Linked DNA regions of Drosophila melanogaster. The protein of the gene in region 2 interacts with the protein of the main gene of each other region in a pairwise test. Each region holds a gene or a part of one and is shown on either strand. Other genes may lie near its edges.

The links.
Region 1: the proteins of Doc2 (region 2) and Antp interact in a protein complementation assay, tested with the Drosophila melanogaster proteins (one study listed by BioGRID).
Region 3: the proteins of Doc2 (region 2) and Scr interact in a protein complementation assay, tested with the Drosophila melanogaster proteins (one study listed by BioGRID).
Region 4: the proteins of Doc2 (region 2) and C15 interact in a two-hybrid assay, tested with the Drosophila melanogaster proteins (2 studies listed by BioGRID).

What each region holds. Positions count from the first base shown.
Region 1 is NT_033777.3:6,996,199-7,001,033, forward strand, and holds the start of Antp (antennapedia), read right to left. Parts: upstream 3,031-4,835; 5' UTR 2,008-3,030; intron 1-2,007. UniProt on the Drosophila melanogaster protein: Sequence-specific transcription factor which is part of a developmental regulatory system that regulates segmental identity in the mesothorax. Provides cells with specific positional identities on the anterior-posterior axis.
Region 2 is NT_037436.4:9,013,223-9,021,266, forward strand, and holds the start of Doc2 (Dorsocross2), read right to left. Parts: upstream 6,025-8,044; 5' UTR 5,670-6,024; coding exon 5,579-5,669; intron 4,864-5,578; coding exon 4,707-4,863; intron 1,754-4,706; coding exon 1,486-1,753; intron 1,408-1,485; coding exon 1,270-1,407; intron 400-1,269; coding exon 1-399.
Region 3 is NT_033777.3:6,846,946-6,851,761, forward strand, and holds the start of Scr (Sex combs reduced), read right to left. Parts: upstream 3,037-4,816; 5' UTR 2,600-3,036; intron 1,561-2,599; exon of another isoform or gene 971-1,560; intron 1-970. UniProt on the Drosophila melanogaster protein: Sequence-specific transcription factor which is part of a developmental regulatory system that provides cells with specific positional identities on the anterior-posterior axis.
Region 4 is NT_033777.3:21,498,006-21,502,991, reverse strand, and holds the start of C15 (C15), read right to left. Parts: upstream 3,007-4,986; 5' UTR 2,735-3,006; coding exon 2,562-2,734; intron 739-2,561; coding exon 323-738; intron 1-322.

The DNA.
Region 1 (4,835 bases), on a different chromosome or scaffold from region 2:
TTAACCGACTCATGTCGCCATCTATCAATGGGGGCTTAAATATAATTTTAATTTCAAAGGCAAGTCAAACAAGTTTTCTTTGTGGTGGTCGGCTGTTTTCGTTGAAGCTTTTTGTTGGATTCGTTTTATTAACAACAATTTCGTTTACTTTTGTTGCTAAGTTTTGGGCTTTCGGCCGAATCTCAGAGGTCGTGATTAATGTTTTTACAAAAGAGTTGTCGCCATTGGTGTGCTGATGTATAAATCTTTTTGCTGCTTTGCCATGAGTGTGAACTTGATTAAGAATCCGTTTAAAAGGAAGTGGTTGCTCATGTATAAGGGTCTAAATATGTTAGTAAAGAATTGTAGGACTTAAACAAAAATAGTCTAGGGAAATGTGCGTTTTCATACAAATTTTGAATATTTTCCCCCCATTTCTCCCAATTGCATCGGTGTTTTTTCTGTCTGTCACTCGGCCATAAATCATAAAAGTTTTTGCCGGGCAAACAGAACGGAGTTTATGATTTTGTCAGCTGTGTAACATTTCCAGCTGATAAAATCAATAAATTATGAGAAAATAATTTCATTTGATGCCATCTATTTGATTTTGCAAAAATCGAAGCTGGCAAAAATGCAAATGGAAATGTGTTAACGATAAGCAGGCTGAAAGTAAAAGCCAGGATAAGTTCATTAAAGCCCTTTTGGACAGATCGCTAGAGATACTTTCCAAATTATGGAACAGATTTTTAAATGTTTATTAAATTACGAATAAATTCCGCACCTCTGTGGGGCGCAAGTGCAATGAGAGAGCGGGAATGGAGAAAGAGAGAAAGGTAAAAGGTAGCGAGCGACAGACAGAGAGGACGACAAATATGCAAAGGCCAGACAACTAGGACAACAACAAAATCAGCAACAACAAGGACAATGCACTGCAACAATGGCCGCATAAATTTTCTATGCGGAGAACCCGAGAGTGTCCTGTTCGTCCAACTATGTGCGTGTGTGTGTGTGTGTGTATGAATGTGTTTGCGTGTGTGTCTGAGAGAGAAATGGCTGCCCTTTCCCACCATTCGGAAGTGAAACTATGTTGCCCAGGATATGCGCAATAATTCAAAAACGAATTCCAAGTTCAAAGAGCCCATTACTCGTGGCCAGTTAAGTTCGGAGCTCCGTTTTCAGTTTTCCAGCTTCAACTCCCGGGATTCCTGAAAGCATCCCACCACCCCTCCTCCCACTTTGCAAATTTATGCAAATGGCTAATAAGCCTGTCAACAGTTTGCAGTTTGCAGGCCAAATGAGTGATGACCTGGCTGTAGCTTCCGAAAAACGCCCTTTGAGTTATGAAGTGTTGAATCTGAGTTCGGGCAAAAAACTTATACCTTGCCCACTGCACATCGAGAAACAGATGCGCTATTCTTTGTACAGAGTCATTAATGTCAAAACTTCCACATATTTAGACAAGTATTTGGAAATGTATAAAGTTTCCGTCGGCATATACATAGACTGATATTCTAATCCATGTAAGCTTCATTGAAATGATTGATTTTATTCAAACATTTAATGGACAGCTAATAGTAACATAATATACTTATGTCAACCATTTTTTCAAAAATAATGTTAAGAGAACCTCACAATCATTTTTGTTTAAAAATTATATATAATTTTTAGTGACAATCGAATAATTCTTTGACGGTATGCATAGATGACATTACATTACATGTACAATTACCTTTGCAATTATTTAACAATATTGATTTTTTACTACAATTTAAAGTTAAGATTTTTTCTTCACTTTCAGTTACGATTATTATTAAATTGAATATTTGAAATAGTTTGGATAGGCAGAAATAACATAAAATTTGTAGTAAAATATAATTATAATCAATTTAAGCATTGTTTTCAAAACGCATTAACCATTTTTGTGAATAAAGACATTTTAATCCCAATTGGCCAATAAAAGAAACATATAACCATTTTGATTTCAGTGAAGAAGGTGAGGAAATTGAAAAGTCGAGCCCTGGCACTTACCTCTTAAATCCAATAACGTGCGCTTATCCTTCAATCCTGCTGGCTTTTGGAATTCTCAGCTAACGGTAGCTTGCACGTGCGCCAAAATAAAAAGTTTGCCCGCAGTGGAATCGAAACTTTTTCCGCTCCTTATTCTTTTCCGTTTTATGTATTTTGTTTTTTATTATTTATTTTTTTTTTGTGTTATTTTGGCTGTCTACGTTTTATTTCTGTTGAATTTGTTGTGGTTTGAGTTGAAAGCTTCAGCTTTTGTTTGTTGCTAGTGTGTAGATATTGCTCGATTTACGGGGGACTAGAAAACGTTGTTGTACAGATTCGAGTTTTCGGTGCACGATGCGTTTTTAAGAATAGATAAACACTTAGGTAGTAGGATTTGGCTTGATAAATTTGAACTCTAGCTCATTTGCAGCACAGTCAGCCCAGATCCATTAGTAGTATTGCACAATATGTGGATGAATTTTAATTTGAATCCAGACACCTGCCAGACACTCGAACATCATAAAAAGAAACGCGCGCGAAGTTCAATTCCAATTTCTCTGACGGTGTTTTTGTTTGCTGTTTATGCGATGGCGCCTGCGATTACAATTACGATTACGGTTACGATTACGGTTATTATTATAATAATGGGTTTATGACGATCTGCGCCATGCGATGGACAGTGTGCGACTGATTGCGGTTCTAATTTTTTACGATTATTGTTATGATTATTTTTACGGCCTTTATGATCTTAGCGGGCTGACAATTGGGATAAGAGAGCGGTCGCGACGACGGAGAGCGAGCGAATACGAATGCGAATAGTTCAGTTCAGTTTAGTTCAGTTCAGTTCAGCTCCGAGAGCCCAGCCCCAAGATATTGGCCGCTATAGCGACTACGGAATACGGGGCACCGAATACCGTTATGCTGCTGGGATCCCTCTCGCACACACACACATACAGTCGCACGTGGGCTAAGTCAACGGAACACGGACGGGTCCTCGAGTGCTTTGTTGTGTGATGTTGATTTCTTTACGACTCCTATCAAACTAAACCCATAAAGCATTCAATTCAAAGCATATACATGTGAAAATCCCAGCGAGAACTCCTTATTAATCCAGCGCAGTCGGCGGCGGCGGCGCGCAGTCAGCGGTGGCAGCGCAGTATATAAATAAAGTCTTATAAGAAACTCGTGAGCGAAAGAGAGCGTTTTATTTATGTGCGTCAGCGTCGGCCGCAACAGCGCCGTCAGCACTGGCAGCGACTGCGACCGCGACAGAGGTCCGATTCTGCTTCTGCTCCGGTCATAAAGTATTTTGCAAAAGAACCGTTCTGCTCTCGTTGCCATTTTGAGTGACTGAGAGAGCTGAGCGAGTGGGAGCAGCGAATTGGCGCCTGACTTGAGTTGACCGGCTTGAGTTGCCGGCCCGAGCTCGCTGAGCTGCAAACTGTAGTCAGTCTTCAAAAGAAGATCTTATGATGCACATCCAGTTATTTTCGATTATTCAGTTCCCAGATTTATTTTGGTTGGTATATTTGATTTCACTTTTTTATTAGGTTTTTAAGAAATTTGTTTCATTCATTTTGGTTTATTAAATACAATTTTTTGCAAGGTTCAATTTTAAGTTTCTTTCTCTTAAGTGCTCTTTTCAGTTTCTCTAAAATCGAAACTATTTAAAATTCGATTGTCTGGGCATTATCGAGTAGTTTCTACTTTTATTTCGAAGAGCGATTACTATATCTTTATAACTTAATATCTTTATACCTTTTTAACCATTCTTCTGGACTATATGGTCAATCAATTCATTTGCTTTTAATTTCTTAAAATAGCGTAACGATGTGAAAGATGTGTACATCTTCAGTTTACTTGTTTTTAAATTTTTGCGGTCAAATCTACCATTTTGTGGGAGACCACCTTCTATAAAATCAATTAAAATAATTGTACAATTTACAAATACGGTTCTCTAAAGGCCTTGTGTTGACTTTTTAGTTTTTAAAGTATCAATCCGTCGATTACTTCAGACTGAATCATTAATTTACAAACTCATTTATTTATTTATTTTACCAGTGAAAATAATCTAAAATAGGGTTTTGCAATGGAAAGGTCGAAAGTTTCTGTTTGCCTATTATGTAAAATAATTGTAAATTGTTATGCTGCTTAAGTACTTATAAGAGTAAAAAACGTTTTTGATTTCGATTGTCTCGATTTTTTATCTTTTTTAGATGTTCTTAATTAACGCTTATAGATATGGTATATAAACGTATAAACGTATCTTTTAATAATTATTTTTGTAAATATACCACAACCATACATAATTAACAGTTTTGTATAGCAAATGTGATTTGCCCGATGAAGTCATATCTAGACGTTTTGATATCTCATTATCGGCTAACATTCGATAATCGGGAGAATGATGGCCGCCGTGAATTATGGAACCCGGAATACGGTACTTGGAACCGGGGAGTATGGCATCCAAACATCCACTTGCCGACGGCAAAACCATCATGGCCGAGTTTATATCGAAGCGCGCCAACAACAAATCACATGCACGCACACATGCAGGCCATCACTCACACGCACACAATCACAATTCAGCATCGCTCTCACTCTCTCTCTTTCTCCTACGCTCTCGCTCTCCCACAGCTGTTGTGGAGCGGAAAAAGAACAACAACACAAGTTGGCCGAATTTTTGCAGCCGCTGCTTCTGCTTGCGGCGCTGCCAGCGTCGTAAACAGGGAGGAGTCCGCCACAGACGCACACTCATAAAGCATTCTCAGAGACCGCACACACACAAGCGCGGCACACAAACGCACAAGATGGATGGCGGCGCAGGCAGAGAGCGAGAGTGCGAGCGA
Region 2 (8,044 bases):
AACGCTGGAGGCACTCCTCGCCTGGAGGGGATGCGGATGCGAATGCGAATGTAGATGGGGCGGTGGAGAGCCCAGGGCCAAAGAACTGGCGCCAGGCACCGACTGATCGTCCAGCGATGATGATAAGGAGCAGGCTGAGCCATTTGATCTCAGGCGCTTGATTTGCGGACCATCCGAATCGCCGATCGACGATGTTCCTCCGGCTGTCTCACCGCCTCCTTTCGTTGGCGACATGTCAGACTCGGATTGGGACTGAGAATGGGATAGTGACGGCGACTGATCTTGATCCTCGCCCGTTGGCGATGAAGACATCTTGCGTTTGCAGCGCGATTGTCCCGTTTCGCGGAAGCCCTTGGCAAACGGATTGTTGTCGATCTTCAGCTTGGTGATGCGATCGTTCTGCGGAAGAAGGCAACAAGACGAGCGTGAAATATGACGATTGCCGCCAGCATAATCTTGGGCAACGGGGAGATGGAGATGGAGAAGGAGAAGAAGACTCATCACATAAGTCACTGGCGTCCAGTAGCTGGCGTTAAGTAACATGGCCACTTGACACCAGACTGCGTTTCCAGTTCTCGGTGCTCAGTTCCACTCCAGATGACTTGACAACATTGTGATCTTTCGGATCTTTCTCAAACCGAATCTCCGATCTCTCGGCGATCTTGCTAATTAGAGGCAGACTGGCGTCGGCTGTCAATGGGCCTAGACCTAGACAAAAACACAGCGAGGCGCTCAAATTTACAAGGATGTGGCTATCCAACTTCCTAAAACAACAATCCGACCCGCTGACTTTCTGCCTGCCCTGCCCACCAACTACACGATCCACGGAGGCGTTCCATGCTAATTCGAGACGTTGACCAAGCTACCCACGGCGTGAGCGATCGCCGCTCGTTTGCCCAAAATTAACCAATTAGTGTGATCGTTTCCAGTCTCTTTGCTCAATGAATTGGCAAAAAAAAAAATGCACACACAAGTAGGAAGGCTAACTTCGAGGACACATGACTCGAATACTCTTGGACGAAACATTTTTGTTAAATACCTAATAGTGCGATTTTAGACAACCTTGGATAAGTCTGTGAATAACATGTGAATTAATCAAAGATAGGATACCATGAGGTGATTTTGAACTAGAAGGGATTCTCATCGTGTGGCAAAGATATATATTTTATTTGAGAGTACTAATTAGACATTGAGCTAGACTCATTACCAAAATGATGGCGCCCATTGAGAGGGTAAACGGAGTAGGGATGGGGATGGCACACCACTTACCTGGTAGGCTGTCACGGCCACGAACTCCGTCTCGGCGAACACAAAGGCCTGTTGTGGGGCCCAGGGAATCTGCGCCAGATCAGCGGTGCGTATGACGTGCAGACGCGGCTGATACTTGTGCATGCTGGCCAGGACAATCTGCGAATGGGGATGGCGAAAGGGGTTTGGACTTGGATTAGTAACTGGAGACGACTTCAAAGCCCTGGCCGCACTTACATGGCCGCTGTTATCCAGCGTGTTATTGGTCAACTTGACCTTATTGAACAGTATGGGCTGCGCCTGCCAATGGGCACCGGTGGCCGGACTGTCCGGATGCAGGTACATCCGCTGGGGACTTTGCGGCTCGGCTCCTCCGGCTGGAACCCACTGGGAGCCGGAGAACTTGTAGCGGCAGTCGCCAATGGGTACCATCTCGAGGAGCACGCAATAGTTGCTCTCGTCCTCCAAGCCGGAAACACTTAGTCGCATCGAGGGGAACATGCGTCTTTAGGGGAAAGGAAAAGCATCTTATTAGTTTAATCAGTCTCTTATTATATAAGACAAAATCATTTTTCATTATATTATTAATACAAATAAGACTTTAATATCATAATTATATGGTATATTTTACTATTTGATAAATGGCTAATTTCAAAGTTGTTATAAAACCTAGCATAACCTTTTGTATATACCATATTAGACATGAGAGTTATCTTACAGATATTTCCCTTATAAATATTACCAAATCGTTGGTATACTGCTTTCCTACAACATTTTCCTCTGTGTCAGATGAGCGGGGGAAGTCCAGGAAAACGCCTGGAAAACCTTAGAGCCTTTGTTTACCGAACAAACTCAAATATAGTCATGCTAGAACGACAAAAGGAGCCCATTCCCGGTTCCAGCGTGGGCGTTACAAATATTTAATTGTGAGATTTCCCTTCCATGCGCCATGTAATTAGGACTGGTCAAATAGAGATTGCCCGGTGGAGTAGGGGCCGTTTTCCCTGTGCTAACAAGGATGCGAGGCCCTGACCCTCGCCTTCAACTCCAAGTCGCTGCCGCAGGAACAGCAGGTGGTCACGGCACTTGGCGCCTGGCCGAAAAATGTTTGCCCTTCGTCCTCATCCTCAACAGCGTCCTCATCCTCGAATGGTTTCTTGTTTTTGGCAATGATTTCGTGTTTCCCTCAACCGATGATTAATTAATTGAAATCCACAGAGCCTCGGTTTGCTAACATTTAATTTGATTCTGGCTTCGGGTCTGCCTTTTCAGCTCCGTTGAATTCCATTAGAGCACGGCACCGAAATATTTCGACATTTGTGCGGTTTAGAATTTCATTTTCAATTTGCTTGCTCTCAGTTTTTGTTTATTGTTTTTTTTTTTCTTTATTTTTTTGGCAAGAGTCCGCTGTCTGGATTTGGACAAACGATTTGTTAAGATCGATATCTTTGGCGCGTCTGCGCATAATTACCAGTGGAATTTTCTACTGCGAGTAAGGAGCATGCTGACCACTTGACGGCATTCGACTTGGCGCTTGACGCTTCGCAGGTGCAGGGACACAAGCCAGGAATGCGACGGAGCATCGGATCTCGGACTCCCGAAGGGTACTCTGGAAATATCCAGAGCTCACTCCAATGTTTACCCTACAATTCCATATAAATAGCTGCTTGATATTCCCAGAATTAGCATATTTAGGAAATTAAGAGTGAGACTATTTATTAATTGACAGCTATAAAACTGGAAGCAAACGACATAAATTTTGAACTCTTCAGATCGTAAGCCAGTTTTGAATGAGTCTACTAGGAATAACATTTCTTATTAGAGAAAGGGTAAAATATTTTCTTTTTTTCTTTCTGCAACTAAAAGTTTGAATCCAATTGAAAATTCTGGGTATATTTGCGCTTCTCATCGAAGTTACCGTGTCGCTTCTGTTTACCGCCTCTCTTGGTGAGTGGAGGAGCCCACACAGTCTAAAAGCATCGTGACAAAGTCATTTCATTTGCCGCCAGTATCAGACATTAAGCGATACGGTTTGTTCTATCTAACTTTAATGGCCGTCTGCGCTTTTACCACCCAAAAAGATGGAACGGTTCAAGTGGCAAGCGGAGCCCAGACAAGCAACTAATTAGTTTTTATGAGCGCCACTTGGCATAGGCATAGGTTTTGGACTTGGGATCGTATCCGTATGGGAAATGAAACGGGGATTGGGATGCGATTGGACAGACGGTGGCACTCTGGCGCCTAATCATTAAAAATTCAAATCGATTGCATCGCGACCTCTCCACCGATGCCCATAAAACATTTTTGATGAGCATAAAAAGTATTTAATACGCAGACTATATGAATAATTCATGGCATATATAAAACAAAAGGGTTGTTCGTGGCTCGAAGTGTATTCATTCAATGCATTTCGAGACCAAAAGTTTATGTTAATGCGTTTGGGAACCCTTTTTGATCGGCTCGAACTGAGGGCAAGTGTGAAATTGCTCGTATCTGTCGACAAGCTGTGGTCACTGTCACTGCCAAAAGATACAGATATGTACGAGCATCTTATAGAATGCAGAACGCGAAGATATTTCGGGGCCGCAGGTTGTTCGCTGCGCAGACAGGCGCCACAATAAAAACGCTAAGAGCTACAAAGATGACGACAAAGTATCCTTGACGCGAAGATTTATGCCAGGCGAGGCATAAAGGAGCGCCGACGAACCGACAGGACGTCCCACTGAGCTCGGCGCTCGCCCGATCGGTCCAGTTGGTCGGTCTACAATAAATTACGATGACGCCACTTTACGCACATTCGAACAAGTGCCGGACACTTTTAGGTAGTCGCCTTTGTGCAAGTAGTCGTGCATCTGATCTGATACTCATAGATACACGATAAATTAGCTCCGGGCGATCGCGCTATGCCTTTGATTCGTACTATCTACGATCTGAGCACGCAAAGTGCCGGCGAACTTGTTCGCTTTACGCCTCGTGCGATAGCCGATGTCCAGTGCGCATCAATTTTGGCTGAACCTGCAACCGCTTTTCCATTTCCCGATTTTCAATTTTCAATTTTCGATTTTCACATCCTGCCGACGTAAGTGCATCCTTCCGCCTTGTTTGCCTGTGAAAATCGTTGTCGCGACGCCGCTGTAAACAATTTGCAGGCGCCTGCATCTAATGAGCCTTTAACAGCAGCACATCCTCGCTGGACTCTACTGAATCGGATCGGAATCGGGATCGGGCCAGGGATCGGGCTAGGGATCGTTATAGGGTGCTTTAAGTGCCCGCGCCCGTTGGCTGGTTTATTATTCTTTGCCCTGCGTCTGGGGTATTAGTTTTCATGTTCGTGCTAATGCATCGCTACATCTATGTTTGTTCCCGATCTCTAAAGTCTGTATATCTCGAGATTCCCCCACTCTTGGTTTTTCATCATTTTCATCATCAAAGATCTTTTCTCTCTGTTCTAAACCTACCTGCCACTCTTGGTGATGATCATTTCCGTGCCAATTTGATGGAACTGCTTCCATAGATCGTCGTTCTGCAGGGTCATCTCCACGCCGGGCAACGTGACTCGAGGTGGCATGATCACGTGCCGTGGCATCGGAATTGGCAGCATCGGCGGAAACGGATCTGAAAAGAACAATAATCAATAGGGGGCTTATAGGTTAACAAAAGCTCAAGCAATCTAACAAACTACTTAGTCTTCAACAAAGAAAATTAAGAATTATTGAAATTATGTAAACATATTAACATGGTATTTGGCTAAAATGAAACCCATTCAAATAACTTAATAGTCGCCATTAGTTTAAGAGCGTGGGTCTGAATTAAAGTGTGACATTTCTGACTTATCCAAAGAGATCTTACGGCATAAATCCATATGATGACTGACATATTTGTCATAAAAACAAACGAACAAACATGGGGTTATATAAAAACGCTTATTTGGCGAACGAGGAACACCGATTCTTTCCCGATTACCAAACTTAATGCCCTCCATCTGGTATCCACAAAATAAGGAGCGATACTTTGGCAAACAACGATTTTGTTTTAGGGGTACGCTGATCCCGAAATTTAACGACCGTCGGCAACAAGAAAAATGCATTTGATATCAAGTTTCTCGATCGGCGATCACTTTCCCACATTACTCAGCTTTATGATCCGCTGGCCATAAACACCGCTACTCGCACACACCCCGCTGATCTTGGCCAACTTTGGTGGGCTGAGACAGTAACAGAAACAAAAGCAGTTTGCCAAAAGTTACGACCATTAATGCTAATGATGGCTAACAGCTTTGCCGCACGCGTAACGGGGCGGATGAGTGATATGAAGGGGGCAAGCAGTTTACCTGGTATGCGCTGCATGATCTGCTGGCGATAGATCTCGTGTGCTATGTGCTGCTGCATGCGCAGATCCACCAGCTCGTTCATGGTGATCATGATGTGTTGGGTCCAAAAATAGTACTAAATCTTTGCCCGAAACTTCTTTGTTTGGCGTTTGTCACTTGCACAATTGTTCCCCAGCACACAAAAAGCACTGTCACAACATATGGCGGTGTCTATTTTTTTGGAGCCCGGGTTTACTTTTTAGCCGAGCACGAGACGCCGCCGATTAGCGTCAATTATGCAAATCACGGCACACAAAAGTCTCTCATGTGCGTGGGTGTTAATTTGATTAGGCCCGGTGTCGCGTACGTGGGTTATTATTTTACCACAAATATATTGAGAGAATTTTTTGTATCTTTGGGCGACGGTCGTGTCTTGAGCTCGCCAAGTTCGCATTTCAACTGAGCAAGTTCCGCTGGCAGAGCGATCTCTCGATCGAGCTGAATGGAACGAGCTTGACTCGTTTCCGTCTTGAGCCATTGATCGAGATTACCTGCTGCTCACCATCGATTGGCTGTGGCAGTGTACGGAGTGCGGGAGCTAGCCGTCCCGCTCTGGTTTGGCACCTCCATTTTGAAAAATCCTCTCGATTTTCCAGATGCCATGGCTCCGCCCACGAAGCGCTGACTATCACTCTCTCTCTCTCTCTCTCTTCACATTGTGCCAGCTCGCTCTAATTGCGTTTAATTCTGAAGTGCGAAGTTGCACAGTCAGCGGAGGAGCAGCAACATGTTGCTTCTGGGTCCATTCGCTATGTGTGTGTGCGCTGGCTGGCTGCCTTTTAATTATGATCATGATGATTGAAATTGTTTTTTCTCCGTCTCCGCTTTTTGGCATCTTTTTGTGTATTTATGCTTTGCCCATTTGTAGCCGCTGCCATCACCATCACCATCATGGTGGTCCTCTTGTCTGGCCTCTCCAAGCCGTGTGTGTTTGTCGTTTTGCTGATCATTTATTACATTTTACCCGGCGCACTACAGAGAAAAGAATTTATTGATGCTGTTTGAACAGCAATTTGATGGTTTTTTATTGAAAAATATTTACTCTTGGTGTGTTTGGCAGCGTATTGTATAAGATATTGATCTAAGTATCAGTAAAAGTTCCAATCACTTACTTTAAAGTACCTTGTTTACCTGTTGGCGGATTGATGTTGGATGAAATTGCTTGGTCATCGTTGCAATAGTTTTTTTTTATACACATTTTAGAGTTTATCAGTAGAGAAGAATTGGTAAATAGTTTAATTAATTAATATATTGGGGCCCATTATACAATAATCTTTACTTTTTAATTAAACGAATAACACTTTAATGCAGTTTTCTCTGTGTAATTATATGTTATTTCGACTTTGACGCTGCGTCATTCAGGCATTGATATGGCGGCATCCAAAGGCCCGATATGGCGTCTCCACTTGCTGGTACACGAATATCTATAGGCTATAGTCTAGTCTACAGATATTGCCGGCGATGCAGGTGATCACTGTTTGTGGATCTGACCTTTTAGAGAGCTTGGCAAAACATTTGTTTCAAACGACGGAAACGCGTGTCGGAGCTGCTTGCTAACAAATTCGAAACTAATTAAGGCCCAATGAGGTGGTCTGAACTTTGACTGAAGTTAAGCATACGCCATGTGGGCCGACGATGGCGAAACGTGCTCGGTTTTTAATGTGTTGTTTTCTTTTTTTTTTTTTTGCCAACGACTAGTCTCGTGTTTGCCTCCAGTGCCACTTCCTTTCAAGTTTAAGACAATCGCTTGGCTTATCTGAACAGCATTACTGCGAAATTCCTGAGGCTCTCGATGGGTAAATATGTAGTTAGCCGAGCTAATTTACACAGCACTTTGCTGGCCTGACACATCCACGCATTATTTTCCTATGGATATGGCCATAGCCACAGTTGGCGGCGATAAGCGTCTGAAATTAATTTACTATTAGCAGGCCATTTCGCCCAAATTGCGTTCTGGCCACGTATGAATGTATGCGCCGTCTGACCATAATTTATGCCTCGCGTTTTCACATTTGGTCGCGCTCATTTCCGGTTGCGTTTTCCGTTCTGCCGTCTTTCAGCTCGACTACGTTCGTCAAACCATTAGACATCGATCCTGTAGAGCCTCTAAAGGGTCTGCCCTTTCAGACCATGCCAATAGCTGTGCAATTTGTCAGCACCCAGCTAATTGGTGCTGCCCCTGTGCCTGCTGTCTGACTAATGCATTTCGGTTTACTTCCGTTCGGTTCCGGATAAATGGGCCAACAGGTAGCAAATGATGCACTCGAAGAACTGCTAGTTGAGCAAGTAGTGTTTGCAATAATTAAAATACCTGCAGTTAGTTCGTTTTGCATGGGTTTCAGTCATCAAAGTATGGAGAAGCAAATTAAGCAAAAATTTCATTGAGTTCAGATAGATGGTCTTATCTATGACACATAGTCAAAGGAA
Region 3 (4,816 bases), on a different chromosome or scaffold from region 2:
ATACTGCCCAGGAGCATCGCCTTTACTCGGTCATTGGCAAAGTCCCATGAAGTTCCAGCCCAGTGCGTCTTCTTTTATTTTACATAATTTCATGTTCGCCCCATGGCGTCTTGGCCAGCATGAGTTCGAGTTCCCCGGATAGTAGCCAAGCCTATATCGTGGGCATTTCTTCATCCCTATCCCAGCTTGGGCTCGGTATATAACGCTATGTGTCTGGATTAACCTTCTATATGCGGCGCTTGTTAGGCATTTTTCATTCGCTGTGACATTTCGCCTTTGTGCCTCTTAATTATTTCAAAAGCGGCTGCATTTCGCTTTAATGAAGTGAAAATTCCTTGCGTTGATACCGCACACGCAACCTTATGAAAAATTGCTTAAACAGAATACAGAAACAAAGCCCCGATATAGGGAAATATATAAAATGTATTTTCTGGGTTCGGTTACTAGGTATCAAAATATATTTCATTGATTTTTTCAAATTATATTATTTGATATGGAGTGTCTTAAGAAGCAAACAGGGGAAATTATTACGCACCTTTGATGATTTCTTCAAAGAATATTAAATTGATTTATTAAAGAAATTAAAAATTTCTTATTTTTTTTTAACTTACTAGTGTTGGTATTATTTCTTCAATAAGAAAGTCAAAGTACAAGATAAAGATTGTAAGATTAAAAATAAAATTTAAGGTGGTAGAAATATTGTTACTTAAAAAAATATGTACATACGAACAAAGCACTTTTTTATTGTAAATATTATTTGATAAATAAAATCGCATCAAATTGTTAAGAAAAAACTATAATTAAATTGCTTTAGACCAAATATTGCTACATAAGTTCTTAACACATCAAAAAAAAAAACACTAGAAAATACAAAACAAAAACTGACAACGAATAAATATCCTTTCCATGACTGTTTTCACCTGTTCCAAAGCGCTTAAAATATTTTCAGCCGTTAAACTCGTTTACTCACAATTTTAGTTAGCCGACGGCGTTCACCTCCGTTCAAGTGAGTTTGTTTTCTGATTTTCACTGCACTGAACCACGATTTTCACTTGTGCTGAGTGCGGAAATCAACGTGCACAATTACGAAGGTAGAATTGTCACAACCAGCCGGATATCTGGGAAATTAATCCGATGGCATCCTGAGGGCAAACTGGCTAGACTTTTGCGTCCTACCTGCAGGCTTATGTTTTGGATGGTTCTAATGGGTAATTGGCCGCAAAGGGCTAAGCGACGGATTTGGACGGCTTTTGGTATCACAAACACACAAGCACACGCGCAATTTGTTACAGATCACGATAAGTATATGCGCTATGACGGAGTATCTAAGTATCTGCGCGAATTTCACGCCGAATTTATGACTGTCCATCAGCGCCAGCATCGATGCAAGCACTTTGCAGTCCATCCATCTTTCGCTAAAATCGAACAGTATTCGAGGGTCTTTACACGCGGAACAGCTGAGTGTTGGATTGTTTGAGTTTTTTTATTTGTGCTTTTTTTTCTGTTATTCCGGTGTATCCGCGGATACGTGCTCGAAGCGCCAATGTCTCACTTTGACTGCTCGGGCATAATTCAAATTTCTGAGCATCAATAAAAAACACAGATACGCCAGCGCTCTGGCTCACTCATACTGCTCCATTTCCCCCGTCCAATTGTATCTGCGAGTACGAGCAAGTAAGGCTATATGGCTATACAGCTACATATCGTCGTCCAAGTGCAGTGTTCATTATTCGAAAAGTGTGCGAGAGAGACAACGGGCATTGCGCCGCTCCGCCATCTCGCTCGCTCTCAGGCATGTGCTGAAACTACCTTTGCGGACGCGAAGAACGTTTCGAATCAACCGCCAAACCAGAAATTCGTTCCCACAAATTGTATCTCACGGATACGAATACGACACATCGGTGTGTGTGTGTGTGAGTTCGAAAGAGCGGTAGTTCGAAAAGCACCGCTCTCGCGTGTTTCGAACAAGTTCTTATTGAGAGAGATCGTTACTCGGTAGTTCGAAAATCATGTTTCGAACTGCGACTAAAGTCTTATTGTTCTCACCGACACTGTCCGTGTGAGATCGATTTCGGGGGACCAAATCATAAACATTCGAACTCCGTACTTTGGGCTAGTTGGGATAAAATCAAGACTCTGGGACTCATTTTGGGAGTTTGGAGAAGTAAAATCTGTCTCTGAAGATTTAATATATATTTTTAATGTTGTTCATATATTTTTTTTTAGTTAAGTGTGCAGTTAGTTTATATAACATTTGGAGGTATTGCAAAGAAGTAAAGTAATTGGATTTCTGAACTTGCTAAAATAATATATATTTATAAAAAATATATATATATATATTATATTGATTTTTTACAATTGACACCTTTTTTGTATTCTACAATATTTATTGTTTGTTAAATTGACTCTAAAATATTCAATCCTCCACACCACAGTGCAGTTTTAATTCAGAATGATTTGAGTGGAAAAGTTTAGAAAGGTTAAAAGGAACCATTTAACGATATATCGATGGTTTCATTTAAACCTTTAAGGGCAAAACTTTCTTAAATTTTCTTCTTACATTCAGAGTTTAGTTTTTCTACGTTTGTTATTTTCTTACCTTTATGTGGACGATTTGGGGAAATCCAATCAGACGCTACGAACAAGTCGTTGTAATTCAATTAGTTTTCTTAGCCAGCACTTCACTGTATACTTTTTATTTTCGTATTAATTGTATTTGCCTTTTGCACTGCACTTTGCTATCTTAGTTATTTGCGAAGATGAGCAGTTTGAGAAATTATTTGAGGTGGGTAGGTAATTCCGCTCCTATGTAAAGGAGTTAGTCGGTAAAGTATCCGCTATGGGGAGACCATGGCACCTTGCCGTCGCCAAAGAGCTTTCCATGGAATCGCAAGACTGGCTTTCAAGCGGAAACTTCGCGGATTGCTACGCGTACGAATACGAGAACGTGTATCTGTATCTTTTTATGTTTGCAGAAGACCGAGCGCGCTGCTTGGCGACTGAAGTGCGCCACGTTCAATTCACGTTTGAGCCATAAAAACCGACAAAACGACCCTCTCGTGCGTTGCCTTGTGTGCGTTTCGAACACTGTAAATCATTTGAGGACCCGGCCAACGAGTGCGAGAGAGAGGACGGACAGTGCGCATTTTCGAAAATCCTGCTGTCCCACTTGCACCCACGGCAGACTCCGCCCCCAGTCTTGATTTATGCGACGAGGGTGCCACGGCAACCGGCCTATGGCGCTCCAGCTTTTCCCTCGATTTGGGGAAAAGCGCGCTCTCGAGAAAAGCGAGAAATACGAGAAAAGCGAGAAAAAACAGGTAGTTGGCAGCCACTCCAGGACACATCTGCCCCCGGTTCACGCTCCAGATTAGGCCGAAATCATCCTAGATTAGGCGTCTCCCCCACTTTATTTGTATTCAATCGTGGCACTGTTCCGCTAAATCACCGCCACATTATTATTTCGCATTATTATTTTATAAACGTTCCGCTCCGCGTTCATTTCCATTTTTATTGGCCTGGCAAAATGCAAAGTCTCCTGCTGAAGCTTAAGTTATTCCTCCTTTAAAACGAGCTCGTTGGCAGTTGTCTCTGAATTTAAATTTATCGGTCTGTTTCGGGGCTGCGGATCGGGTTCTCTTTGGGCCGTAGCCAAGTTCAAGTTCTCATGATTCATTCAGCATCGGGGCTTAACGATTTTGATTTGTTTGGCTAAATGCCTTAATTAAAAGTCGATTTCATATTTGCTACCAACAATCCAGCATCGCATTCAGAGCTGAACACACATATGGTTTGATTTTGGCGTCATTTGAATTTGAATTCAATTGATTAGTTTGTCTCGGAGATTTAAATGTTGATTAGCTATTTTTTATCATAAAAATGAGTTGCTGGTTAAGACACACCCAAAATCGATTTTGAATGAGATTATTTTTTTTATTTTTATTTTTGGAATCTAACGTTTATGTTGCGAAACCACAAACATATACCAAATACAGATAAATGGCATAGGTCATTCGTAATATATTGCAAAAGCAAAAGTTTGTTTTAATAAGTATTTATAGTGAGTGTCTTAAAAATTATCTTATTTAAAAACGTATAAACTTAATACGTTTATTTGATACGAACTTGTAATAAAAGTGTTTTTTTAAGTGGTACTGAACGGTTACTTTCGAAACCCGAAACGCGAAATCAGCAATTCTTTCGAAAATATGTTTATTAAAATATAAATAAATTTTGTAAGTACGTATTTCGGAATTTATAGCTTAAGTTTATGTACCAATTCGATTTGTTCTTCTTATAGAAGTCGTATTTTTTGCCATATGTTTTCCGCTGTGTTTTTGAAACACACATGTCAGCTCTTTATGGTTGGCCCGCATCATCCACAAACCATATAAAAGTATAGAAAAAAACAAATGATGGAAAATAAATGAAAAACTAAAAAAAAAAAATCATAAGAGAGACGCCTGCGTGTACTTCTGTAATTGGAGTTGATGTTGGCGATGCCAGCGGGCAGCCAGCGCCAGACTCTCGTATCCCAATCCATAGCATAGCATAGCATCCTCTCGGATCCCATTCCATTCTAGATCCATGGAGGGTCCCCAGCAGCATCCAACATGTTGCAGGCGATTTTTCATCATCGCTTGCATGTTGCCTCCGATTGTAAATGTTGCCCCTCGCACACACACGCTCAATTTTTAATATGAAACAATCAGCAGCGTTTGTATTTTGTTTTTAGTTAAAGAAAACAGCGCGTAACGCGAAGTTGGAATTTTTGAATTAAATCTGGACATAGAAAAAACACAAAGAAAAACTTTGT
Region 4 (4,986 bases), on a different chromosome or scaffold from region 2:
GCACAATTGAATGCATCCAACTACGCGTTATGTAGGCACATATATAACATTTTTATTCTTAATGTTACCAATTCTTTTATTTCAAATGCCACATTTTCTCTTGGTGCACGAATGTGTTGGCCAACAATGACATGCCGATAGGCATGTTGCCTTAAAAGTCTTCTCTGATCGTGCTTATTTGGGGAACAGTAGCAATTGCCACCGCGGGTCATTGGAGGATCGCTCCCCCGAAAGATCTCGGCGAACATGGGCCATCCCGACATGGGGGCCCCGAATGGGTTGGATTTGGCAAACCCTCTTGACTTCGCTGCTATTCACTCACCTGCCAACCGATCCTTGACCGCCTGATGTGCCAGCGCCGCGTGATGCAGTGGCGGTAGTGCCCAGGTGAGCGGCGTTCTCTGGGGCGGTACACGTAGCACATGACCGCCGGCCGCTGAGGGATAGAGATGCGGATACGAGTATAGTGCTGCGGCGCTTCCGTATGTCGAGTTGGCGATGCTGGTGGCCAGCTTATAGGCCAGGTCGTGGTCCTCCTGCTGCAGTAGCTCCTTCTCCTCGCCCTTTTCGCCGCTGTTGTTGTTGTTGCTGCTGGAGCCCGGACTGCTGCTGAGCAGGTGGTTGTTGTTGTTGTGGTGGTGGTGACTCGTCTCGAAGGGCTTGGATAGCAGGCGTGATATGCTGAAGGGCAGATTCTCACTGGACGAGGAGCGCGTCTGCTCCGACTGCAGGGACTCGCTGGGAATAAAAACCGGAGAAAAGACATCAGAATCGAAGGGAAAGAAGCCCTCTGGAGGTGCGGGCTCATTAAAATGTGTCGCCCGATAAGCGGGAAAGCCTGAGAACATTGACTATAATTAAGTCTGTTGCAGTGCGTACCAGTCTCGGAACCACTAACCAAAAGCCCACGCGAGCGGATAAGCCGAGTTGACGACATGACATGCAGAACCCGTGTGGCCACCGCTGCGTATACGCAATGCGGCTGGAAATGAAGTAATTATGCAAATGCTGACGGCCGTTAGAGGCATTTAATACGCGCCCATAAATCATCAAATGCCATCAACTGACGCACCGAAAACAAGTCACGCACGGCATTTAATTTATAAATCCAAAAAGTAAAAACCCATTTGGAACAGGAATGGAATTGTATCGGAACAATGATCTCAAATCGCCAACCACCGACACACAGACACTTTCCAATATCAAAAGTTATGAGCAAACACATATTATTTCACTGGCCAAAACTTGCTGCTATCTGGTGATCTACATTCGCTGGAACGCGGGTTTTATGGCATTTTTATGACGATCTCTATTAAAATGTTAATCCGACAAACGATTTCGTCTTTGTCCGGCATTCAAGCCGAAGATCCAACTCCAGATTGAGCCCCAAATGGACCCCAATGTCTTATCACAGCCCGTTTTTGGCGCCTTACTAATGTGCGTTTTATCGTCGTCGTCTATTGGAAACCCTGGCCATCCGTGAACTATGTAAATTCAGGGAGTTTCTTTGGCACTTTATGGGACATTTCGACTTGATTCTTTTGGTGGCTTTGTGGTCAATTCATTAGCGTTTAAGAGGTTTGTTCACACTGTTCTTCTAAGCGCACAAACGCTTGAATGGGATCAGTTAACACGGTCTGCTGGATGCTCTGGCATCTTGTTATCCCCTTTTGTCGCTGGAAAATGGGACCATTTGTAAGAGCGGACAATGGGGCTTAAACATCAACGCATTTCAATGGCGTTGAGCCACGATTCGAAAAATAGGATTTGTGAGCATTATGAGTGACAATGTTAAAGATCGTAAAACAGTGGGAGTTATGAGCTCGTAATAACAAATGCAAATAGCTTTTCTCCGCCACAATACTTGTTTGACTTTTATAGGGCAATAAAATAAGACTGTATGCCAACTATTATAACTATAGCTTATAGATCTTTTTCTCTCAGTTAGTCGATCAAATTGCTGTCGATCTAAATTTTGACTTATGAGTAATTAACGAATAATGTGGCCAACTAAATCAAGCCCAGTACTTACAAAAAAATATTTATTAATTTGCATGATGATCATAACCATCAAGAGTAAACGAAAAACTGAGCTTTTTCTTTAATATATTTTTTTTGGGGATTTTCCGTAATGAATTGTTTCAGACCAATTATTATGTTTGTACATCGTATAATTTGAAAGTAAAGCCATTATTATTATTAATAGAGATGCAATCTCTTTTCAAGTTTAGTGTAGCAGATTATTTACGATACAATTAAACCAAAAATATTTTTTATTGTTCGATTTTGCAACGTACATAAATTCAGACGTTATTCATATTTGAAAAATATTTACCAAAATGAATTTTAAAAAAAAAGGCCTCTTCAGTTTTAAGTAAGTAGTACGGAAGCCAAAGCATTTTATCACAATCTAGTTAAAAAAATAATATATGTATGTATATGTAGAAGTCTTATTGTAATTGGAAGATCTGCTTATTTATGGTATATCTATACTGATAATATCTATATTTTTGGGACATTTTTCCTACTTCCTGGTTCTATTTAAAAGCTCTCCTTCTCACCTCAATGGCGTTTCGGACTCGTCGTAGCAGCTGCCGCCGTCCATATCCACATCGGATCCGCTGCCACATGACATCCGCGAGTCCGAGTCCACATCCACGTGGATCTCCTGTTCCTCCACCTCTTCGCCGTGCTCGTTCTCGTGCTCATGGTCATCCTCCTCGTGGCTGGACATTTTGGCAATTAGTGGCGCCAATTTGGAGCTCGCTCACTGCACTTTTCGAATCTTATTGGGCACTCTTTTCTCTTAATAGTTAGATGTAGAGTGTTTCAACCGCGAAGCACACACTAATCGTCCGATTGATTTCAATTCAGTTTCCGCGCTTAAGCACTACCCGTTGCGGGAAATTCCAACTGAGAACTGCTTTGGATTCACGGATTACGGTCTACGGATTAAAGTTTACGGATTACGGATGGCGAATTGCGAGCTGGGAGCGGACGCGTGCTAGCGGGCGAAAACGCTTTTCATAAATGCAATCAAATTGTGCCGACGGCCGCTGCTCTGCCTGCCCTCTGCCGACTTGGCTGCCTCTGCCGATTGCTGGTGGGTTTGGGCTGTTGGAGTGAGCCGGAAACAAGTCAAACCAGTTGCCCGACGTCGACGCCGCTGCCGACTTCCTTCCTATTTCGGTTAAGAGCCAGTTTGCCACCTTGTTTGAACCTAACCTACCATAATACCAGCAACCTGCCTCTTCTGGTTGGTCCACCCTTGAGCCATCCATCCCGCTCTGATCGCACATGCGCCTGACTGCCTCTCGCTCGTGGAAACAGGTTTCGCTCTGCCCGCCGATGGGCAGCACTGGTCGGTAATTGAGCCACGGGGCGTGGCCTCGGCCAACCGCCATTGGCCGCTGGCCGGAGTTTGCCCCACACACTTGCCACTCTCGACGTCCACTTCCCGCTGGCAGTTGCGACGACATTTTAAATGGAAAACGTTTTGCTTTTGGGGTTTTTTATTAGACGAGAGCATGAAGAGAATGTATTTTTATTTCGATTGTTTCTATTTTCAGGTTAGCCAAGCGTTACCACTCTGCCTCGCTCTGTCTCACTCGCTCGCCCGCAAATCACCCCTGCAGAGCGAGTCAGCCAACTGACGAGCGAAAGAGATCACATCCGCCCGCCGACTCTTTTCCGCGGAAGTGCAAATGTGGCAGATTAATAGCACAATTGGAAATAGCGTTCTGTCAGCTTGAGTTCACAAAGCAGCGGATTTGGCCAGGAGGGCTGCCCTGCACCACCGCCTAATGTCACCCCTCACCACCTCACACCGCTTACTACTGAGATCTTTATTAGCGCCAAGAGTTCTACGCGCTATCGCCTGGCATTTGGCAGGCGGCGATTGCGATAAGCAGACTCGAGCTGAAGCCACAGGAATCCAATCCATTTGCCCCGGCCATGCGAATGCAAATTGCGCGGCATGCAGTGGATGCAGCAGCTCTGGCATTTTCCACAAGTTCACCCCACGGGTTAATTGACAGTTTTTCTTGGGCACGAGCCATGTTACTGCTCATCGCTGGCCGGGATCTCGGTCCTAGTCTTAGTCTCAGTTTCAGGTGTTGTTCTAGCCGGCCTGGATGGAATGCGTGTGTGTGGCCAGAAGCGATTGCGTACTCCGTTTTCATTAGCTGAGATAGCTGAGTCGAGATGTGGAATGTGAACCCCTTCAGAATAAGGCAATGTTATGAAAATCCCAAATCCTATTTGCGATAACTTGGATAATGCATTACTACGCTTAGGAGATTCGCTACTGGTCAGAGGATAATTATATCTATATTTCATAATAAAGGGTTACTATATCTCTACTTGCACAGTTTGGTTACTCTTAAACATGATTTGCTTTAAGGTCTTATATTGTACCTCACAAATACTATTCTGTGATTTAAAAGAGTGCCAATGTATGTACATATTGATCACTGGTTTTAAGCTGCATATGCAGCTTTTTGTTCAATGTTAAATTATGTTAGTTAATTATATCTACATATCTTTACCTATCTTTATAATATCATTATTCATAATTTGATTATTATTCAATTTTTCTTGAGAGTGGGCTGCAGAATCAAACCGTTCACTTTGCATTTAAACGGAGTCCGATCCTAGAAGTAACGACTATAAATATTCATTTCTGCACTTAACTGGCCATGTTTCTGTGTCAGACACGAGCAAAAAATCATGGCCAAAAATGAAGAAAGGCAATTACTGCATATTCAATTGGCAAGGCACACAAAAGCACACGCACACCACTTGGCAGTGGAAAGGACTCTGGAAAAAGTCACGAGGCGAACTCCATTTCTCTTCGTACCGCCTCGCAATGTCATTGTTGCTGTTTTGCTGCTGCTGCTGGCAGTCGTTGGTTGGTAGGCCTTGTAGTCGGCTAATTGGATTTCATTTGGGCAGAAACAACGCAGAAACAATTGCCGTAATAAAAGC